6 linked regions of the Macaca mulatta genome follow. The protein of the gene in region 2 interacts with the protein of the main gene of each other region in a pairwise test. Links are inferred from orthologs where the notes say so. Each region holds a gene or a part of one and is shown on either strand. Other genes may lie near its edges. The genes, in order: BNIP2, MYO5B, TRIM54, AMOTL2, RAB25 and RAB11B.

What was found.
Region 1: the proteins of MYO5B (region 2) and BNIP2 interact in binary tests that used the Homo sapiens proteins (3 or more experiments, as listed by UniProt). The two-hybrid records come from large-scale screens. The link is inferred for Macaca mulatta from reciprocal best matches to the Homo sapiens genes MYO5B and BNIP2.
Region 3: the proteins of MYO5B (region 2) and TRIM54 interact in binary tests that used the Homo sapiens proteins (3 or more experiments, as listed by UniProt). The two-hybrid records come from large-scale screens. The link is inferred for Macaca mulatta from reciprocal best matches to the Homo sapiens genes MYO5B and TRIM54.
Region 4: the proteins of MYO5B (region 2) and AMOTL2 interact in binary tests that used the Homo sapiens proteins (3 or more experiments, as listed by UniProt). The two-hybrid records come from large-scale screens. The link is inferred for Macaca mulatta from reciprocal best matches to the Homo sapiens genes MYO5B and AMOTL2.
Region 5: the proteins of MYO5B (region 2) and RAB25 interact in binary tests that used the Homo sapiens proteins (3 or more experiments, as listed by UniProt). The link is inferred for Macaca mulatta from reciprocal best matches to the Homo sapiens genes MYO5B and RAB25.
Region 6: the proteins of MYO5B (region 2) and RAB11B interact in binary tests that used the Homo sapiens proteins (3 or more experiments, as listed by UniProt). The link is inferred for Macaca mulatta from reciprocal best matches to the Homo sapiens genes MYO5B and RAB11B.

The regions. Positions count from the first base shown.
Region 1 is NC_133412.1:36,997,489-37,000,988, reverse strand, and holds part of BNIP2 (BCL2/adenovirus E1B 19 kDa protein-interacting protein 2), read left to right. Parts: intron 1-459; coding exon 460-636; intron 637-3,500.
Region 2 is NC_133423.1:42,113,700-42,117,653, reverse strand, and holds the start of MYO5B (unconventional myosin-Vb), read right to left. Parts: upstream 2,801-3,954; 5' UTR 2,588-2,800; coding exon 2,561-2,587; intron 1-2,560. UniProt on the Homo sapiens protein: May be involved in vesicular trafficking via its association with the CART complex. The CART complex is necessary for efficient transferrin receptor recycling but not for EGFR degradation.
Region 3 is NC_133418.1:97,686,157-97,689,656, forward strand, and holds part of TRIM54 (tripartite motif-containing protein 54), read right to left. Parts: intron 1,613-3,500; coding exon 1,440-1,612; intron 937-1,439; coding exon 765-936; intron 656-764; coding exon of another isoform or gene 530-655; intron 1-529. UniProt on the Homo sapiens protein: May bind and stabilize microtubules during myotubes formation.
Region 4 is NC_133407.1:37,401,506-37,405,005, forward strand, and holds part of AMOTL2 (angiomotin-like protein 2), read right to left. Parts: intron 2,918-3,500; coding exon 2,604-2,917; intron 2,014-2,603; coding exon 1,793-2,013; intron 1,229-1,792; coding exon 1,049-1,228; intron 276-1,048; coding exon 217-275; 3' UTR 1-216. UniProt on the Homo sapiens protein: Regulates the translocation of phosphorylated SRC to peripheral cell-matrix adhesion sites. Required for proper architecture of actin filaments.
Region 5 is NC_133406.1:110,869,020-110,872,519, forward strand, and holds part of RAB25 (ras-related protein Rab-25), read right to left. Parts: intron 1,492-3,500; coding exon 1,296-1,491; intron 1-1,295. UniProt on the Homo sapiens protein: The small GTPases Rab are key regulators of intracellular membrane trafficking, from the formation of transport vesicles to their fusion with membranes.
Region 6 is NC_133424.1:9,236,658-9,240,643, reverse strand, and holds the start of RAB11B (ras-related protein Rab-11B), read right to left. Parts: upstream 2,801-3,986; 5' UTR 2,736-2,800; coding exon 2,696-2,735; intron 481-2,695; exon of another isoform or gene 351-480; intron 1-350. UniProt on the Homo sapiens protein: The small GTPases Rab are key regulators of intracellular membrane trafficking, from the formation of transport vesicles to their fusion with membranes.

The sequences.
Region 1 (3,500 bases), on a different chromosome or scaffold from region 2:
GTAGTTAACCACTTCCTATCTGGTATTACAGTTAATTTATGTGCTCAACAACAACAAAATTGGCTCCCAGATAGCTACTTGAAGTAACCTATAGTCATAACTGCCAGGGAGAATATTGTCACAAGTTGAATCTGGAAAGGCATTGTAAGGCACATGTACTAAGATTTTGATGACTCTATGAATTATATTTTCTGAACTTGTGGATATATGATATAAACCACTATGATTAGGTGGTTTTTGCTAAATTGGGCAATAAAAAAAGTTAACCATGATTTCCAAAGACATAAAATGGCCTCATGTTAAGAATAAGCCTTTTCCTGCATTATGGAAGAGATATTTAAAATTGCACAGATGGTATAATGAAAATTCTCTGTAAAATCTAGATAGTAAAGTGGTTAACGTATAATTTGATTTTTATTGTGTAACAATTGGTGATTGAAAAACTTTTTATTTTGACAGATGATCTTCCAAAACCCAAGACTACTGAAGTAATTAGGAAAGGCTCAATTGCTGAATATACAGCAGCAGAGGAAAAAGAAGATGGACGACGCTGGCGTATGTTCAGGATTGGAGAACAGGACCACAGAGTTGATATGAAGGCAATTGAACCCTATAAAAAAGTTATCAGCCATGGGGGTAAGAGTTACTGAACATTTTTCAAATTGTTTAATGTGGTATCAGAATTCTCAATAGTTTTAGAAACTCTGCCTAGAGATATTACGTAATTTTGAAAGAATAATAAGCATTTATCATATCATTTTAGAAACATGATAGGTTTGAAGTAAAAGAAGAAAAGTACCATTTTTTTCTCTTTTTGCTTTTGAGATGGAGTCTCGCTCTGTGGCCCAGGCTGGAGTGCAATGGCGTGATCTTGGCTCACTGCAAGCTCCGCCTCCTGGGTTCACACCATTCTCCTGCCTCAGCCTCCCGCGTAGCTGGGACTACAGGTGCCCACCACCAAGCCCAGCTAATTTTTTTGTATTTTTAGTAGAGGCGAGTTTTCACCGTGTTAGCCAGGCTGGTCTTGATCTCCTGACTTTGTGATCCACCCGCCTCAGCCTCCCAAAGTGCTGGGATTACAGGCGTGAGCCACTGCGCCCAGCCAAAAGTACCATTTAAAAATGATTATATACCTACACTAAGTTGAAAAAGTACAAAAGAATTTGTAGTGAAAACTGTCAGGTTGGGCATGGTGGCTCAGGTCTGTAATCCCAGCAATTTGGGAGGCTGAGGCAGGAGGATTACTTGAGCCCCGGGGTTTAAGACCAGCCTGGGCAACATAGACCTTGTCTCCACCAAAAAAAAAAAAAAAAAAAAAAGCCAGGAATGGTGGTGTACGCCTGTAGTCTCAGCTACTTAGGAGGCTGGGGTGGGAGGAGAGAGAGCTCGAGCTTGGGAAGTTGAGGCTTCAGTGAGCCGTGATCATGCCACTGCACTCCAGTTTTTTGTTTTGTTTTGTTTTGTTTTTTGTTTTTTGACCCTGTCTCAAAATTTTAAAAAGAAATTTTTTTTTAGCTGTCTCTAGGCTACCCAAAACTGGGACTGTACTTTCTCCATAATTTATAAACAGTGAAATGCCCTGATCTTAAGTGTACAATTCAATGAGTTTTGACAAATGCCCATATAACTGTATATTCCCATATATATAACCCACACCCCTAAACATATAGAACATTTTCATTGTCCCAGAATAATTCTTTAATACCCCTGCCCAGTGAATCCTCACCTTGGTAGCCACTGTCATATCTACCGCCTGATTAGTTTTACCTGTTCTAGAATTTCATATGTAGTAACTGAAATCATCCTGTACACTCTTTTGTTTACTTTTCAGTATGAAGTTTTGGAGATTCATCCATGTCGTTGATGTATCCACATTACATTCCTTCTTATTGGGGAGTAGTTTTCCATTGCATGGATAAACCATAATTTGCTTATCCATTCTTTTTTTTTTTGATGTGCATGTGAGTTGTTTCCAGCTTGGGCTATTATAAACAAAACCGCTTTGAGCATTCTTTTAGAAGTCATTTATGGATATAAGTAAAACTTGGACTTTTTTTTTGTTTTTGAGATGGACTCTTGCTCATCACCCAGGCTGGAGTGCGGTGGCGTGATCTTAGCTCGCTACAACTTCTGCCTCCCTGGTTCAAGGGATTCTCCTGCTTCAGCCTCCCGAGTAGTTGGGATTACAGGCGTATGCCACCACCCGAGCTAATTTTTTATATTTTTAGTAGAGAAAGTGTTTCACCGTATTAGCCAGTATGGTCTTGATCACCTGACCTCATGATTTGCCCACCTCAGCCTCCCAAAGTGCTAGGATTACAGGCTTGAGCCCCTGTGCCCAGCCCTAAAACTTAGACTTTTTAACCTTAACTCTTAATGTGCCTTAAAATCCTGAACAAATTTTTTTTTTCCTTTTTTTAATTTTTTTGTTTTGTTTTGTTTTTTGAGACGGAGTCTCGCTCTGTCACCCAGGCTGGAGTGCAGTGGCGCAATCTTGGCTCACTGCAACCTCTGCCTCCTAGGCTCAAGCAATACACCAGCCTCAGCCTGCCAAGTAGGTGGGACTACAGGCACGCACCACCATGCCCGGCTAATTTTTGTATTTTTAGTAGAGATGGGGTTTCACCATATTGGCCAGGCCGGTCTTGAACTCCTGACCTTGTGATCCACCCGCCTCAGCCTCCCAAATTGCCTGGATTACAGGCATGAGCCACAGCGCCCAGCCCAAATTATTTTTTAATAGAGAGCTCATTCACTCCACATTTTTATAGAGTACCCACTTTCCATACTTATGGGATATACAAAAATACAAGGCTTAAGTCCCTTCCCTTAAGAAACAGGAAAAGCTATAAAAGTTTAAGTTACAAATCCTGTGAATCTAACAGTACCATATATAGAAGTTTACCTAGGCACATTGTAAATAGTGCTAGAATGTTAGTGGCAAGTCAGAACACAACTCACTGTAGAGCATGTCACACTACCTTAAATCCTCCTAACACAGGACAGAGTGGCACATGGGTCAAGCAGATTGATTTTTTTTCGGAGTCATTTCCACTTAATTTACCACTTACTTTAATGCCAGATGCATTCCCCTGCTTATTTCTACAGTCTTCATTCATCTGAAAGCAAATCACATGAATATTTGTAGTTGCATTCTTCTGCCTAATTTAATCATACTCAGATGAAGAAAATGGCATAATCTGGATCAGGAAGTCCACAGACGTATATTATTCAGCTAGTTCACTGGAATCAAATTATAAGGCCTGATTTATGGCTTCAATCTCTTTCAGAAATAGCACTTTTTTATAGGGGAAAATAAGACCACCTTATCTTACTGCATTATCACACTTAATATATTTTGTGACTGAGTGATTAAGAAAGGTAGTGAAGATTCTGATGTTCTTGAAATGTTCAAATCTTTTCAAATGCAAATTTGTAAACAATAGAAATGAAGGTTAAAGCAGAAGTATTTGCTACTAAATATGGGCTTAATATCTAAA
Region 2 (3,954 bases):
AGCAAAGTTCCCACTTGATGGATACCAAAACTGCTGCACCCAGATCAATTGCAGACAAGAGCAGAGCTTTGGATGGAAATTCTAAACAAGTGGGATCAAGACCCTGAAGCATTTCTTTGAATTGTAACAGGGGATGAAATGTGGCTCTCCCAGTATAATCCTGAAGACAAAGCCCAATCAAAGCAAAGACTTCCAAGAGGTGAAAGAGGTCCAGTCACAGCAAAGGTGGACTGGTTCAGAGCAGAGATCATAGCAGCATTTTGGAGGACTGCTCAAGCCATTTTGCTTGACTTTCTAGAAGACCAAATGATGATGACATCTGCTTATTACAAGTGTCTTGAGGAAGTCAAAGCTTTAGCAGAAAAACACCAAGGAAACGTCACCAGAAAAGTCATTTTCTGCCACAACAATGCTCCTCATTCCTCTCAAAGAAGAGCAATTTTGCAAGAGTTTCTACGGAAAACTATTAGGCGTCCACCTCACAGTCCTGATTTGGCTCCTTCTGACTTTGTGTCCTAATCTCGAAGTTAATGACCTGCATCTTTTCCAGTTAATAATGTAAGACTGCATTGGCATGGTTAAATTCCCAGGACCCTCGGTTCTTTAGGGACGAACTAGGTGGCTGGTATAACTTTCAAAAGTGTCTTGACCTTGATGGAAATTGCGTTGAGAAATAAAGTTTATATTTTTAAACTTTTAACTCCATTTTACCCCACAAACTCTCCCCCTCATATAATAACAGCAATTCAATATTGCCTGACAAAGGACTTTGACACATTGGAGGTATATTCAGTTGAGTCATTCCTTTTACTTAGGAGTACAATTTGCATCTCCATGCACTTTAATGTAACAAAGCTTCGGCTTTGAGCACTCCAGTTCAGATTTTTCCCCTGCCTTCACTGGCTTCCAGCCTCCAGTCCCAGCTCCTGAAACCTAACCGGCTTCAGGGAAAAAACCTGAGCTTTTAGGGATCCTCCCAATACCTCCACAGCCAAGAGGGGTGGAGTGCCATTCCAAGCCTAGGACTGCCACAGAGTTGACGCCCTGGCTCCCGCCTCCTCGCCTCCTCGCCTCCTCCCCTCCTCCCCCAGAGGCCGTCGCCCATCCCTGATCGCTGCACAGGAGGTCCCTGGTGGGCTAGGAAGTAGTATCTGAGGCTGCTGCGTCCCCACCCCCAGCCAGGTGACAGCCTCCGCGGCCACCTTCATGAGCGTGAACCCATCCCGGCCCTGCTCCCCGCTCCAGGAGGAAGGCGAGAGTTTAAAATTCCTCAAACTTAGAAGGGTTGCCAGTTCACGGAGCAGAAGGGCTCCCCCACATGTGCTGGACAGCCGCGAGTGCTCTCCAGGTAAGGACGCAGAAGTGACTGTTCCTACCCAGCCCAGACCTGATGGCCCGGGCAGGTGTCCCGGGAATCGCACACCCACACAACGCGCGCGGACACCACACGCACACACAACTCTGCACGGAGGCGTGTGCACAGGCACTGTCGTATGTGTTTTGGCCACCCAAGAAGATGAACAGGAAAACCAGGCATTGGACTATCCAAAACTTGTTTTCCTAAAGGGCACATGTGAAGAAAAGGCCTTTGCCCATCTCACTCCTGACTCCAGGGTGAAACTTGAGGGGTCCCGGACGGCTGCAGCGCTGCCTCCAGCTCCCCTGGAAGCGGTGGCTCGTCCCTAACTTTAACCACAGCAACTGCTGCGGAACGCGGGCGTCTCCGCCCAGGCTGCACCTGTTCCGGATTCGGAGCACCCAGCCTCGCACATCCCTTCTGACCTTGAAGGCATCCTGAAACTCACACCCTGCTCCCAGTTCGGCTTTACTCCAACCCCCTTCCCCACAGTCACTGAAGCTCTCTTGGTACCAGAGGGGCCGCGTCAAAATACCCATCCCCAGCAAATTCACAATGCTCTTCCCTGGGGTCTCCGGAGATAACGGAGCACCCCTCTACCCATCGCTTACCCCCACTCCATCCAGCTGCCGCGCCCTCACGCCAGGTTGAGTCTCCTCCCTCTCCACCAAGTCCAGAACCCCCACCTCTCCCAAGTCCAGGGTTCCCTGTTGTGGGTATGCGTGAGGAAAGGACGCCTCGGAGGCGAACCCTCGAGAGCCGGCGCCGCAGAACCCCTGGGGCGGGGTCCACGGCGGGGACAGGGGACAGCGGCGGGCGCACCGCGGGGGACCGTCCGAGCACGGCGCTCAGAGCTGGCAGAGTCGCCCCCGCGGTTCGGGGAACTCAGCTGGAACCCAGCCCAGGCAACGAAAGTGAGGGGCGCGGCGGGGAGGGGGCGACAGCACCGGCTTGGGGCTGAGCCGTGGCGCTGCGGAATCTCCAGGAGCCGGGCGGCCGGTCAGTGCGGGCGTTCCCGGAACCGCTAAACTTTCTCCGCCAACAGAAGTTAGGGACGCCGAGGACGGAGACGCGGGGGACACCAGGAGGGGTCTCCCGTCACCTCCCGCCTCCAGTAGCCGAGGGAGAAGGCGACCCTGAGTGCCAGGTGGCCCCGAGCGCTCCGCCCCGGCCCCGCGGCGCCTCTCCCGCGGCTGCGCTCACCTGGCTGTAGAGCTCGCCCACCGACATGGCCCGGGCTGGGCGGGGCTCAAGCCCCGGCTCCCCGTTGCACCGCGGCTCTCAGTCCGCGGCCGGCCCGCCTGGCGCCATGTTCCTGGGCTGGCCTGGAGTTTCTCGATCTTCTCGCTCTTCTCCGATCTGCCCCGCCGGCTTCCCGGAGGCACAGCGGCCGGCTCGCTCCCGGCGGCGCGACCTTTACTCCTGCGGCGGCGGCGCAGCAGCGGCCGGACAGGAGTTGCGAGCGCCGGGGGAGGAGGCAGCGCGACGCCGCTCCCCGCCCAGGTGTAGGGAGGAGGCGAGGGCCGGCGAGGAGGGAGGACCCGCGCGCGTCAGAGCGGACTGCCCGTGCGCCGCCGCGCCTCTGAGCCCTGCCGGTGCCCGGCCCGACGCGCCCTCCCGCGCCCCCGCTGCCACCTGGGCCTCCGGGCCGGGGGCGGGGCGCTCAGAGCGGAGCTCGGGGACCGGCGCGGGCCGCCCCCTGCTGGACGCCGCACGCGCAGGCACAGGTGCGCCCCGGTGCCAGCACCTGCTCTTCCACCCGCACCCGGCCCGGCGGAGTCCGGCACGCACGCGGTGCACACAAGAAAAGGGGAGAGGAACTAACCAGAGAGCGGGGAAAAGAGAGAAACTTCTATGGCTGGAAGGCCCCGGACGTTGCCCTCGATTTTACCTGGCTGTATTCAGCGCTTTCATTAAAATTCAGTTACTCGTAGATCGTTATTAAGGCGACCTGGACATACGTACACCAAGGATCTTCTCCTTCAAACTGAACTCTCTGCGCGGAAATCCGTCAGAAAGGTGGGAGTCGTAACTTCTTCTGTACAAATATTGGCCACTTTCGCCCACAGCCTCCAAGGAGACTCCAGGCCACTCCTCTCAGAGGGCTCTTGCTTTTCCGGGAAGTCTCACGTTCTCCCAACCCCCGTCTCTCCTACATGCAGACTCCCGGTCTTTCTGCCACTCACTACCTCGTTTATTTGTGTTCCCTCTCTGCCCATGGCACTTGGCTGCCTACAGCAACTTCAGCTCTTTTCCTACTTCCAGTGAAAAGTAGAAATTTCAGTCAAGAAAAAAAAAGACTGCCAGGAGTCTGTGGAAGGAGACCAGGGCTGTCAGACGAGACACTCCCTTCTGAAGGTGGCATGTGTCCCTGAACCAGGGGTGGCCCCTGAAAAGTGGTTCTCCACCAGAAGATCTATCTATACCAGCCGGGGCAGTTGTTTAGGAGCCTCAGAGGGTGATTCTCAAAGGCATCCCACCTGGAACGCAAGATCCCGTTGTAATTCACCTGTGCAGGCCTTCCCGTGGGCGCCTCCACAATGAGAGTCAACTGGGGAGCTTTAAGCGATCCAAGGAAGAGGCCCCAACCCAAGGAA
Region 3 (3,500 bases), on a different chromosome or scaffold from region 2:
AAATAAATAAATAAATAAGCTGGGCATGGCGGCACATGCCTGTAGTTCCAGCTACTCGGGAGACTGAGGTGGTAGGGATCACGTGAGCCCAGGAGTTCAAGGCTGCTGCAGTGAATCACAATCATAGCAGTGCATCCCAGCCTGGGCGACAGAGATCCCCACATCTTTTCAAAAATAAATGAATGGAACTGGGCACAGTGGCTCACGCCTGTAATTCCAGCACGTTGGGAGGCCAAGGTGGGCAGATCACATGAAGCCAGGAATCAAAAACAAAAAACCAAAAAAACAAAAAAACAAAAAAACTGGGCGTGGTGGCACACACCTGTAATCCCAGGTACATGGAAGGCTGAGGCATAAGAACGGCTTGAACCCGGGAGGCTGAGGTTGCTATGAGCCAAGATTGCACCACTGCACTCCAGCCTGGGTGACAGTGCGAGACTCCATCTCAAAATAGATAGATAGATAGATAGATAGATAGATAGATAGATAGATAGATAGATAATAGATAGGGCTGAGTGCAGTGGCTCACATCTATAATCTTAGTGTTCTGGGAGGCTAAGACGGGAGGATCACTTGAGCTCAGGAGATCAAGGCTGCAGTAAGTTCTGTTTGTGCCACTGCACTCCAGCCTGGGCAACAGAGTGAGATCCTGTCTCTAAATAAATAAAGAAATAAACAAAAGATAAGTGGAATAAGAGGCTGACATTGAGACCCTGTCCTAAGCCCCCATCTCCCACACATCTACTCCCTCCCCTGTTTGATACCTTCTGGCGTTTGTAAATGGTGGGCAGTGGGGCCACCTCACAGTCCTTGTGGGCACCGAAGACCTTGCAGAGAGAGCAGGTGGGCACCTCACAGCTCAGGCAGTAGATATTGATCTTCTCCTCTTCATGCTCCTCGCACATGAGGTGCTGCTCAGCCTTGGAGTGCAGCGGCCTAGAGAGGAGTGGGCAGGGGGAGGTGGACCTTAAGCATGAAGGGTCCTAGGAACACCTTCTCTTCAGCCTCCACCAACTACCACCCCTTCTCCACCCCTGCAGCTAGTGCTGTGGCTGAACTGGTGAGTACTTCCACAGAGCTCTGAGTTTGGGGAATAGAAGGAGCTAAGAGATAGAGAAGGCCTGGATCCAAGAATAGTCCGTATTTCAGGGGGCAGGGAAGTCCCACAGGACAGGAAGTCTTGGAGGGTTGGCGAGGATCTTGCTGGTGGACTGCCAGCCTCTCCCAGGAGGAGAGGGTAGGAGTGAAGTACTGGCTAGGGAATCAGGGACTGCCCTCTCTGGGAGGCCTGAGGCAATCCCTCTCCGGATCCAGTCCTATTGTCTCTAGACAGAACAGGTGGGTTGACGGTTTCAGTCTCTCCCTTCTGGCTCTGATGGGTTCCTTGGCTGTGTCCCAAGCCCTGACATTTAGAGAGGCAAGAGACCCTGGCAGCTCACCTGGACGACTCCTGCTTGTAAATGTCAATAATGTTCTCCACTAGCAGGTTTCGCTGCAGGCCGTAGACACCATGTCTGTCCAGGACAACCTCATGCCTGCAAGATGGGCAGCGGAAACGGCCTCCTGAAGACACAGTGGTGGAGCCCCGGGACTGCCACAGAGGATTCGAGGCCTGCAGGGACAGATGGCTTGAGAGAACAGGCACGGGGAGGCATGAAGGGACTCGGAGGAGGCAGGGGGAAAGGGATTGGGGGCTAGGGAGTAGGAATATGATAGAGGGGAAGATGTCAGCTCTTCTCTGTGGCTGGATCCACCTCTGAGAGCAGCGCAGGGTGTACGGCTATGGAGACCCTGCTTCCCACCTTTGCCTCATTACTCAGCCCACCTCCTAGAGTGCCCCTGCATCTAGAGACCAGCTTTGGTAAAGGTGTAGTCAGGCTGGGATCTCTCCAAAGGGGCCCAGCTTGGAGCTGTGGGGAGACATTGGCCTTGGCAATAAGGCTGAGGCAGGAAATGGACTCTGAGTGGTGCGGCCAGTGTCTTCCAGTCTGGGGCCCTCTTGAGCCACATCTGGGGGGAGATTCTCTGCAGTCCTGGGGAGGGGTACAGCAGACACAAGTGCTCAACAATGGGGCTCACAAACAGTAACTAGCCAGGTAATTCTCTGATGCTTTTTTTTTTTTTTTTTGAGACAGGGTCTCTCTCTGATGCCCAGACTGGAGTACAGTGGTGGGATCACAGCTCACTGCAGCCTCAACCTCCTGGGCTCAAGCAATCCTCCCATCTCAGCCTTTTGAGTAGCTGGGACTACAGGTATGTACCACCATGCTCAGATAATTTTTTTAATTTTTAGTAGAGATGAAGTATCACTATGTTGCCCAGGCTGGTCTTAAACTCCTGACCTCAAGCGACCCTCCCGCCTTGGCCTCCCAAATTGCTGAGATTATAGGCATGAGCCACCATGCCCAACCTCTTAACTATATAAATTTAGGCAGGTATTCAACCTCTGTAAAGCTGAGGATAAAATTAGATTATTCATTTATAGTGTGCCAGGTAGTTGCTAGACTCTGAGTTAAAGATACAAGGAAAATGCATCCTGCTCTAAGGACAAGCACCCAACAACTGCATCCAGCAGGATGGGTGTTGTGACAGGGGTAAGTTCAGAAGGAGGACTTAACAGACACCCATCACTTCCTCCCGCTTACATCTCTTTCCTAGAGAAGTTGCTCCATCCTCTCCTAGAAGACAGATCCGTGCCACAGATGACTGATTCAGAGCTAAGGAGGTGATCACCTGACCCAAGCAGAACCAATTAAATGTTCTCTCCTAAGAATCTGCACTTGAGACTCAGGGGCTTAGCTGGCTGCACCATGTGTTGCTTACGAACTGAACAGACCTGTGGAATTGGGCTAAGAGCTGACATCATGGCCACCCTGGAAAGTGTGAGGGGTCATAAACTCTGAACAGAGAAGGCTGGTCTACAGAGAAAAGAGTCTATGCGTGGGGAGATGCAGAGATGAAAGACTGGCAGACACTGCTTATTGTTCCCGGACGTTCACCACCTTTTCTTCTTTAATAATAAGGGCGCTGAGTTTTAACAAGACACATGGTATAAAGGGCTGGGTGTGGTGGCTCACACCTGTAGTCCCAGCACTTTGGGAGGCCGAGGTGGGCAGATCACTTGAGCTCAGGAGTTTGAGACCAGCCTGGGCAACATAGCAAGAACTCATCTTTACTAAAAATAAAAAAATTAGCTGGGCACGGTGGTACACACCTGTAGTCCCAGCCACTCAGGAGGCTGAGGCAGGAGAATTGCTTGAAACCAGAAGACGGAGGCTGCAGTGAGCTGAGATAGTACCACTGCACTCCAGTCTGAGCAACAGAGGCAGACTCCATCTCAAAAAAACAAACAAACGAAAACCGTGAATCTAAGCCTCCCTTCCAACTGGGTGTGGCCAGTTGGCTGTGCTCTGGAATGTATATGCAAATGTTTCGTGTAATTTGTAGGAAATTGCATAAACCGTCTTTCAAGGGAGGGGCATGCCCTGCTCCTCCCCTTT
Region 4 (3,500 bases), on a different chromosome or scaffold from region 2:
TAAGAAGCAGAGTCTTCTGGGGGTGCTGGTGCTCTCACAGTTCTCCTCTCCCCTGGGGTCCTCCTCCTGAGCTCCTGGGGCCAGATGGTCAATGGGAATGAGAGTCTGGCTGGGGAAAGGGACAAAGCAGCGGCTGACAGGCTGCTGAAATGGCTGAGAGTGGCACAGGGCAGAGGAGGGGAGAGAATGGCTCAGAGTCCTGAAGCACCACCTCCTTCAGATCAGTATCTCCACCATGTCTGACAAGTCCTGGACTCTGGATGTAGCTACAGAGTCTGGAGAGAGACAAGAACACAGGCACATGCCAATGAGTGTTACTAGATTGCTTTTAAAATCCTGGCACATTTTAAATACAACGATCTTTCTTCACCAACTTTTCCCACCTCTGCTGCCCAGGTTCCCAGAACTTGGCCAACCAAGCACAATGCTCTGCACCCTCTCAGTGCTCAGCCCAGCCCACCAACCTCCGATGTGTAAGATGCATTTGTTTCTAACTTTGAACTGGTTGGAGGGCTTAGACAGAGCAATGGAGAGCCTGAGGGAGGGAGGCTGCAGCATTCTTTTCATGCCTGTGGTTTTCTGAGATCAGGAGGCACAGGCAAATATGCAAAGGCCAGTGTGAAAGGGGAGTGGAAAAAGAAATGGCATCTTCTCAGATTTCTCTTTCCCGGACTCTCAACAGGCTTCCAGAGTGCCATCGGCATGACTTGCAAACTCCATTCTCTTGGATAATCAAATTGGAAATTAACTATGTAGGGAAGACCATGAAAGAGGAGCTTAAGTGCCTCCCATCTGGTTGCTTTCTTTCTGAATTCTGGATCTGCCTCTAATCAGGGTTTCCAATTTCCCTATTCATGCAGCCAGCCACCCTTCATGTTCACAGTGAGGTGGGCCAGGCACGCTGCTCACCTCTGGCTATGCAGGGCTCCCCATGGAGTACAGGCAATGACCCAGAGGGGGTTGGGAAGAAAAGGCTTTGGTGTTCCAGTTCACACCCTAGTGCTCCCCTGGCCCTGCCTAGCACAGAAGTGGGGTCAGGAGGACTTACCCAGAGAGGCTGCTCTCTGGCTACTGCTGCACCCCAGAAGGCTGTCAGGCTCCGGTGGCAGGCAGGTGGAGGTGCTGTCTGGGGGGCCGTCAGTCTGGGTGCTCCCATCTCTGCTCCCGTGTTTGGCATGGGCAGCAGGGGGAGGTGTGACCACTGGCTCCTCTGTGGGTGCCCTGTCTGCTGGGAAGGTAGGTGGATGGTTATTGCCACACCTGTAAGATGTGGCCCTGGTGAAGGACACTGTAAGTTAACTGTCCTTGCTGGGGATTCAAGGTGGAGTGGGCTGCTCTTGATCTGCAAGAACTTTAAGACTAAAAATGCTCCTATTTTAAAATGGGAATGACTACCAGATTGGATTGGCTTCCAAATGTTTTGGGTGGTGGGACCCTTCTTTGTAGATTAAATCTTCTAGAGTTTCTGTGGCATCTGCTTAGAAGGAAGAGTGGAGGGGGCTTGCATAGAAGGTGCATCTGCACAGGAAGCTCTATTTTTCTCAGTTCAGTGGCTGGGGCTAAAGCATGATGGAATTTACGGCGATGGGGACGAAATACCCCTCTTCACACTGGCAGGAGAGCCATGGGCTGTAGAGTCACTGGAGGTAGAGAATAAGCCAGCTCCCCTGGGAGACAATCAGGAAGCCCTGGCTCCCATGAGCCTCAGTTCTGGGAGGAAAGGTCTGGCAATCTGTGTTCAGGCCCAGGAGAAACTACCTCTCAATCTATCCCAGCAGCAGCCTCCTCTTACCTGTAGTCAGCCGAGCAGGGGCGTCTGCTGCTTGTCGCTCACTAGAAGAGAGCCCTTGCCAGCCCTGGGTTCCTGCTGCCGCAGCCACGAAGACAGATGGCACCGACTTGGCAGGCCGTAGGGAGCCCTGGGTGGCCTTGCCAGGGTCTCTCCTGGAGCGCTGCTGAAGGACCTTGATCACTGCATCCTTCTCCAGGATCTGGGCATGGAGCACCTTTAACCTGAGGGGTGAGAGGCCATGCCCACACTGTCAGACCCATAGATCCAGCCACCCTTCCCGCCTCATAGGAGTTAGAGGAAAAGCACGCCCCCTCCCCTAACCCGGCCAGGCTGGATCTTTCTGTGCTTGTAGCAGGGACCTAGAGGGGGCTTAGAAATGGTACCACAGCTCTGGCATGTGATGCTCTTAGAGCCCAGGCTCTGAAAACCACCAGTGCATAAGGCCCTGGGCCCTTCCCACACCAGGAAAGGCAGGCCATCAAGGGTGGGTTCCAGAGTCATCAGATGATAGTGGAGGCACAGCCCTCATCCTGGAGGGCAGCACTCCGGAGAGAGGAGGCAGGGCCTAAGCCCTAAACGGCACCCAACACCTCCACAGTAAGAGTCTCCTGGGTAGACCAAGGACTCGGTATTTCTAGGCAAATGCAAGTTTACAGCGCCTGGTGTGCCAAGCATGCAGGTTCAGCTTGCTTGAGGGACTGCTGAGCTGTGTGGGGAAAGCGGTTTGTTTATCAGGGATCAAGGGCAGGGCAGTGACTGGACATTGCCACCCGCCTCCCAAACCTCAGGTGCCTGGCCTGCAATGCCGAACCTGCTTTCCATCTCCTGGTGCCTGTGGCCACCAGTGAGCAGACCCTCATTGAAGCTGCTGCTGGGCGAGGGCTGCGGGGAGTGTCGGATGAGAGTGGTGTCACGCTGGGCAGCAGCCGTGGCAGCCGCATCCATGGCAAACTGCCTCATGGCACGTTCCTCCAAATACTTCTGTTCCCACTTGGTCATGTCGGCCTCCAGCGCCAGGATCTGCTCCTCCTTCTCGCGCAGTTGTTCTGACAGCCGAAGGGCGCTGAGCTCTGGGGACCCGCCACTGCCACTGCCACTGCCACCACCTGGGGTGCCTGCCTGTCTCTGCAGAGCAAGGAGTGGAGACCGTGGTCAAGGGTGGAGGTTGGGGTGCGGCAGCCACTGGTCTTCGCCTCCACACAAGGACTGTCACTCTTACATGTGCGTGTTCGGCCATACACAGCATACATTTCCCCATCCTTCCTCTACCGAAATGGGGGTACAGCACAGGTCCCCATACCCCTGCCCTGAATCCTATGGCCAAGGGCATAGAGACCAAACAAATAATCCTCCAAACTGGCAAAGGGGGTGCTATCAATAATTATACTGGGAAAATTGGTGTAAATTAGAACAGAACTGGGCAAACCGGGGGTTCAGCCATGCTAACTCTGTCACAAGGGTAGGTTTGGGAGTGGAGAAATAGCTATTTGGTTTGTAAACACCAAGAGTTGTTTACACAGAAGTCCAAAGTGAGGTTAAGCACTATGGATTAGGGCAACCATCTTTCCTCCCAATCTCAGGGAGGCATATAAAAGCTGGCTGGTGGCTGGGCGCAGTGGCTCATGCCTGTAATCTCAGCACTTTGGGAGGCCAAGGCTGGTGGATGACATGAGGTCAGGGGTTTAAGACCAGCCTGGCCAATATGGTG
Region 5 (3,500 bases), on a different chromosome or scaffold from region 2:
CCCAATTTATTGATGAGTCCACTGAGGCTCATGAGAGATCAGGTAACGAGGAGCGTGTGTAACCAAAGCCCCTGACTCTTGCTTCCTGCCCCCTGGCAAACAGACCCCATTTCACATGCTTAGGCCTCACACTGACTGAAAGACACTTTTTTTTTTTTTTTTTTTTTGAGAACGAGTCTCACTTTTGTCGCCAGACTGGAATGCAGTGGCACGATCTCGGCTCACTGCAACCTCCACCTCCCAGGTTTGAGTGATTCTCCTGTCTCAGCCTCCCGAGTGGTTGGGATTACAGTCACCTACCACCACACCTGACTAATTTTTGTATTTTTAGTAGAGATGGGGGTTTCACTATGTTGGCCAGGCTGGTCTCGAACTCCTAACCCTGTGATCTGCCCGCCTCAGCCTCCCAAAGTGCTGGAATTACAGGTGTGAGCTGCCGTGCTCAGCTGACACTTTTTTCTTGAGACACAGTATCGCTTTGTCACCCAGGGTGGAGTGCAGTGGGGCGATTTCGGCTCACTGCAACTTCCGCCTCCCAGGTTCAAGCCATCCTCCCGCCTTAGCTTCCCGAGTATCTGGGACTACGGGTACGCACCACCAAGCCCAGCTAATTTTTTATATTTTTGGTAGAGACAGGATTTCGCCATGTTGCCCAGGCTGGTCTCGAATTCATGAGCTCAAGCAATCCACCCACCTTGGCCTCCCAAAGTGCTGGGATTACAGGTGTGAGCCAACACACCCGGCCTAAGAGTCACTTTGGATGTGGTGTCAGGAGGCCTAACCTCCTATGTGTCCTCTGAGTCTTCATAAAATGCAGATGGCAGGTTCAGCTTTTGGCCATCTGTGGTTAGATGAAAGTTGCCAAGTGCAGAGCATTGTGCGGAAGTGAGGGGGCGCTCTCGATCCGTGCAGCTTGCCCCCATCCCAGTTCCACCCTGATTTCACCTTGCTTGTATTTATACAGAAATTAATTAATTATAGCACTTTACTCTTGTGGTACTTTAAGGGTTACATAAAATGCCAAATGTAAAGTGCCTTGTCCCTTCCTGGGCACATAGCAAAGGCTTAGTAAGTGGCAATGATTCCTGCTTTTAGTAGTACTAGTCAGTATTACTATATCCTGGCTTGTGCTGGTTCTGTTTACAGTACCTTTTATCTTCTGTGATCTCCACCCCCACCACCCAGAGCCCACTGCTGAGCCCCCTTGCCTCCTCCACCCCAACTTCTCCTCCAGAAGTGTTCCTTGACTTCCCCAGAACTCCCACTACCCAGCAGCCCCCCAGGCCCGGGCTCACGCCGAGGTGATGGCTCGGTACCGCTCCAGGCCAGCTGTGTCCCAGATCTGAGCCTTGACAGCAGCGGTGCCCAACATCACAGTGCGGGTGGAGAACTCAACCCCGATGGTGGTGCGGCTGTCGTGGCTGAACTCATTGCGCGTGAATCGGGAGAGTAGATTGGTCTTCCCCACACCTGATTCGCCGATCAGCACCACTGAAGGAGTGGAGAGATAAGGGCTGAGCATGGGGTAGAGCAGCTCCAAGCCCACCTGAGCTTGCAGGGTCTGCCCAGCAGAAAAAGGGAACTGAGCTCAGAAAAAAGATTAGGGAACGGAGTCTCCTGTGAGACTGGAGTCTGCAACTCAGCATAGTGCATCTGTCCCGGTGGGCAGAAAAGCCAAGAGTTTAAAACAAAGGGGCTTGACGGGTTATAGCCTGGTCTGTTGAGATATGGTTGCAGAGTCAGCCTGCATCTCTAGTGAGGGAGTGACATCTGTGGGCTGTTTATGAGTGTCATGCGGAGACATTACTGTTGAGTGTGAATATGGACAGGGATGGTTGGAGGTCGGGGGGTGCACAGTTCTGGACTAGGACTAGGAGTATGAGAACATTGTGCTTGTCTCTATATGTATGAGCCGGGAGGACAAGTGGGAGGTTTGGTGTGTGTGTTTGCATAATGAACAGAGGTGTGAATCGAAGTGTGGGTAAGGAGAAAGTTTGGCAGTTGACACATCTGTGGGTGAAAGGAAGGCATGTGTGCTCATGTGTGTGTAAAAAGTTAGGTTCCAGTTGTCCCTAAGGAGGGGCAGTCCCACATGGTTAAGAGCATGGGACTGGGTGTTAGACCAGCTATGTGTCCTTCAGCAAGTTATTTAACCTCTCTGAGCTGTCCTTTTCATGTGAAAAATGGGGAAGACATTAGTATCTACCTTAAGGGTTGTTGTAGGAAGTAAGTGAGACGTTGCCCAGGATATAGTAAGTGTAAAAATCATGACTGGTACGATTGTTCTTAGCAGGCCAGAGTTTTTGCCTTTGGGTTTTCAGAGACAAAGGATTCACCGGAGGGGCCATGAAGACCCTTTAGCCTGGTGGGCAGCATCCAGGGCCCAGTCTTACCCACTGTGGATGAGCTGGGGGCTGGGGTAGCGTGTAGGGGGCTGATGTAAGTATAGCCCACAAATTGCACTGGCACTGAGCTGAGCACACAGAATTAGAGGAGGCCACCCAGAGTGGTTCTGGAAAGGCAGGCTGGCACCCAAGGACTGGGAGCCACATACTGTGGGCTCTGGTCCCTGCTCAGCTTCTAACTAACTGTGTGAACTTGAACAAGTGACTCACCTTTTCTCAGTCTCAGTTTCCTTGCTTATATAACCTATAAAGGCCTCCTCCAACTTTAAAAGTTTCTTGGCTGGGTGTGGAGGTTCACACCTGTAATCTCAGCACTTTGGGAGGCCAAGGCAGGAGGATCTCTTGAGCCCACGAGTTTGAGACCAGCCTGGGTAACATGGTGAAACCCCATCTCTACAAAAAATACAAAAATTAGCCAGGCATGGTGGCATGTGCCTGTAGTCTCAGCTACTTGGGAGGCTGAGGTGGGAGGATTGCTTGAGCCCGGGGGGTGGAGGTTGCAGTGAGCCGAGTTTGTGCCACTGCACTCCAGCCTGGGTGACAGAGTGAAACCCCAACTCAAAAAAAGAAAGAAAGAAAAAAAAATTAGCCAAGTGCGGTGGCAAGTGCATGTAGTCCCAGCTACTCAAGAGGCTGAGGTGGAAGGATTGTTTGAGCCCTGTAGGTTGTGGCTACAATGAGCTGTGATGGCATCACTGCACTCCAGCCTGGGCGACAGTGAAATTGGGTCTCAAAAAATAAAAATAAAAAAATGTATATCTAAACATTCCTTATTTGTGTAGGACAGTATGGAAAAGCTGGAAATAATATTGGATATGTGTCGGTAAGAGGATGTGTGTGTGTGTGTGTGTATGTGTGTGTGTGTTCCTGCCTCTCCCCTACTGGGCACATCCCCATCCCATCCCTCTCAGTGGGTGGGCTCTCAGCCCTAGCTTCATACCCCAAAGGTGCTTAGGGCAAGGGCATTGAAGTCAGACTTTGTGGCCTTTTGTAAACTACTTTGCCTCTAAGCCTCAGTTGTAAAGTGGAGATACTAATGGTTCATATTTACAGTGTACTGAATGCTTACTATGTGCCAGGCAGTGTCCTTAAAAG
Region 6 (3,986 bases), on a different chromosome or scaffold from region 2:
TAGGTACAAATCAACAGTGTCGTTCCTGGGGGAAGGAAAGAACATTCACAGAGGAAAACAAACAGCACACAGGGCATCACCCGGGGGATCTGCTGGCCTCGGCCGCTGAGGTCAAGGGAGCCAGTGCGTGATGTGGCCACCAAAAAAAAAAAAAAAAAACAAGGCAGAGGCCAGGTGTGGTGGCTCATGCCTGTAATCCCAGCACTTTGGGAGGCCGAGACAGGTGGATCACCTGAGATCAGGAGTTCGAGACCAGCCTGGCCAACATGGTGAAACCCCGTCTCTACTAAGAATACAAAAATTAGCCAGGCATGGTGGTGGGTGCCTGTAATCCCAGCTACTCGGGAGGCTGAGGCAGGAGAATCGTTTGAACCCGGGAGGCGGAGGTGGCAGTGAGCCAAGATTGCGCCACTGCACTCCAGCCTGGGTGACTAGAGTGAAATTCTGTCTCAAAAAAAAAAAAAAAAAAAGAAAAGAAAGAAAGGAAACAGAAAAAGAAAGACAAATATTGAAAAAGAATAGAGGAGGTCTTCTGATGAGGCACAGCTGTGAAGGTGAGACGGCAGATGACCAGTTTGGGAAAGGCTGACCTTGTGCGTTAGATTTTTGCTACCAACTGGCTTGAGAAGGTCAGCAGGGCACCTGCTTAGACTCAGTAAAAGGAGGCCAGTGTGGGGAGGGCAGCAGGGCAGGCCCCCCCCCCCACACTGCCCGCCCGCCTGCCAAATGGCAGCTGCCGCAGGAGCTAGATCAGTGTTTCCAGGAGGCAGTCTCTGCAGACGGGTCCCGGGACCACACAGCCTCTCCGTTGCTCCTGACCCAGTAACTGTTCTGCTGGGAATGTACTTCAAGGAAATAACCCAAAGGGCAAAATCATGACTTGGGCAAACACTCGGAGCTGGGGTCATTTAAAACAGCAAAAGGGCGAAAATAACAAGCAGGGGATAACCACAGAAACCTGGACAGGGCACGTGGGGAGCAACACTCCCTGCCCTGGCAGTGCCACATCTGGGTGGGTGCCCAGCCAGGACCTGAGAGCAGCTGCCTCAGGAAGGGCTGAGTGGAGATGGCACCCGCCCAGCAGAACCCAAAGTTTGGTCCCCCTGTCTCCAGATGGCCCCTTAGAATCCCAGTCCCCAAAACCCTTCCAAAGCTTCCTCCTGCCATGAGGGCGAGACCTGGGGCCTGGCACCTGCCAGCCACAGAGCCTCACCCACCAGTGATATTATCAACCTGTGTGCAGTTGCCAGAGCCCTCAGTGCCGCAGGACGACTTCAGAGTCTTGCAGAGACACTTCCTCTCCCTCTCCACCGAAGGCTTTCGCCTCACGGACAGCTCAGGTGGGGAGACCTCTGCCCATTCCCCACAACCACAAGACGCTGGATGAGACCAGACGCAAGGCCCAGCTAGGCCTGGTGCAAGTCACAGAGCACGCTCGGAGGAACGGCTCAGCGAGGCGAGGATACCAACAGCTGATGTGGGACGCAGGCCCTTATAGAGCAGGCTGCAGGGTGAAGGCACCCTGGATCCAGGGGTTAACCCTCAAGGGCTGCCATTGTCAGCCAGGGAGCCCAGCAACCAGGGCAGACGACTAGGCGAAAGTCTAGCTGGGCATAGAAGGCTCAGCTGAGAAACAAGGGACTCCAGCTTCTTCCAGCAGACCGGGCAATGGCTGCCTGATCTGACTAGGCTTTATTTGATGTTCCTAGAGCCCCCTCAGTCTCTCGGGCGGGGAAGACCCTCCAACAGGCTGGCTGGGGCCCCGGCCATCAGTGCGCACGTTGGAAGAAGGTGGTCTAACAACCCCAAGTCCTAGATGCTGGCCACAAGCCCCTTAAGACACGCTTCCTAAGTGGTAAAGCCCACAGGTGGCCTGCGCTCAATCGGGCTCCAACACTTTATAAACTGTGTCTTTGTCACTCTGGGCTTCAGTTTCCCAATGTGTAAAAAGAGAGGCTGGTTAATATCAACCTCAAAGGGCTGCAGTGAGGATTTAAGTTCGTTTGCGTAAAGTGCTCAGAAAAGTGCAGGTACTGGCTTAGCGCCGTTGAGAGTGCTAAGTGAAGAGATGGAATTCTTGCTGCACACACGGATACCTTTCCACTCAATCCCAGCTCTGCACCCCAATCCAAGACTCCCACCACCACACACCTCACCCCCAGGCCCTCATCTCGGCCCAGCCCCCATTGTCTGCCCCGCCTATCCCGGGCCCCACCCCCAAACATGCTGACCCAATCAGGACTGGCCTCGTGAGCCCCGCCCCCACTTACCAGGCCCAACCCACCTATTCGTCACACCCATCAGCCTTAGCCCGCCTCTAAAACCCCGCCCCCATTCCGAACCACGCTTTCAGCCCAGCCCGGCCCGCCAAATCCTGGGAAGGCTCCACCCCCTCCGGAGGCCCCGCCCTAACGGCCTCTCCCACCGCTCCGGGCCCCACCCCCGCTAGGCCCCAGCCCCGCCCCAGCGCATCCTGGGTCCCCCAGGTCTCTCCGGGCCTCTGGCTCCGCATGGCCGCGAATCCTAGCTCGAAGCTGATGGAGCCCGGTCGGCCCCGGCCTTCCCGGCTGCCTGACCCGCCGGGCCCCAAGCCCCGGGCTCCGGACTGGGCCCAGCGGCCTGAAGCGCGGCCTTGGCCCGTCTGCCCGCCGCCTCGCCGCAACGCCCTAGCCCGTCTGTGCCCCACCGGCCGCACCTTTGAATAGGTAGTCGTACTCGTCGTCCCGGGTCCCCATTGTCCTGGCGCTTCCGGCGGGATCGGCAACTCCGCAGCCCCACCACAAACACTCGACGGGGGCGGAGCCGGCGCCGCGCAGAACGGCCGTTGAATGGCCTATCAGCGGCGGGTGGGGTAGCGACTGGCACCTAGCGGAGCCAATCAGAGATGGAAGTAGTGCTCTGAGGGTGGGCGCCGCTTGGTATCCACCCTCCTCGCCCTCGGTGTCCTGGAGAAAGGCGGAAGGAATGCGGACCTTTTTGAAGTGACGGTCGCGACAGCCTATTAGAGGCGAGCTTAAGAGGGCGGGGCGGAAGGCTGCAGGAATGAAGTGGAATGACAGACCAACTAACCAATGAGAGGCTGGATTGAGAACCTAGCCGACTATCAGAGGACCTGTCCGGGAAGGGAAATGGGGGTACGTCCAGGTGATGCTAAGATTCTTAACGTCCCGATGACGTCATAGGTCAGCGAGCGCTGCCCTGGCTTCGCCCCCCCAATCCCATAAATGATCATTTCCGGGGACCTCAGCGCTGGGTCCCCTTTGTCGGTTGTAGTTTCCATCTCTATTTTGGGACTCACTGGGTTATCCTTCTATGCCTCAGTTTTCTCCTCTGTAAACTGAAGAAACCCACCTCATGGAATCTTTTGAAAATAACCAGATCAGCTGGACGCGGTGGCTCACGCCTGTAATCCCAGGACTTTGAGAGGCCGAGGCGGGCGGATCACTAAGTCAGGAGTTCGAGACCAGCCTGACAAATATGGTGAAACCCTGTCTCTACTAAAAATACAAAAATTAGCCGAGCGTGGTGGCTTGCACCAAGAGTGAATCAACCGTCCACTTTCTGCTTTTCTTTGTTTAATAAATACTTACAAATCCTTATTGGGCACCGATGCTCTCCAACAGGACCTCCTACCCCTACCCCTCTTTATCCAATATTTTACCACATAGGTAAAATATAGGTAATATAGAAAATAAAACACATACTGCCGTATTGTCAGGTAGTGATAGGATTTATCACTACCTGACAATACAATATGTGTTTGTTTTATTTTATGTATTTAGGGCGTACAGCGTGCTGTTTTGATATACATGTACCCAGTGAAATAATTATGACAGTTTTTTGTTTTGTTTTGTTTTTTTGAGAAGGAGTTTTGCTTTTGTTGCCCAGGCTGAAGTGCAATGGTGAGATCTCGGCTCACCGCAGCCTCTGCCTCCTGGGTTCAAGCGATTCTCATGCCTCAGCCTCCTGATTAGCTGGGATTACAG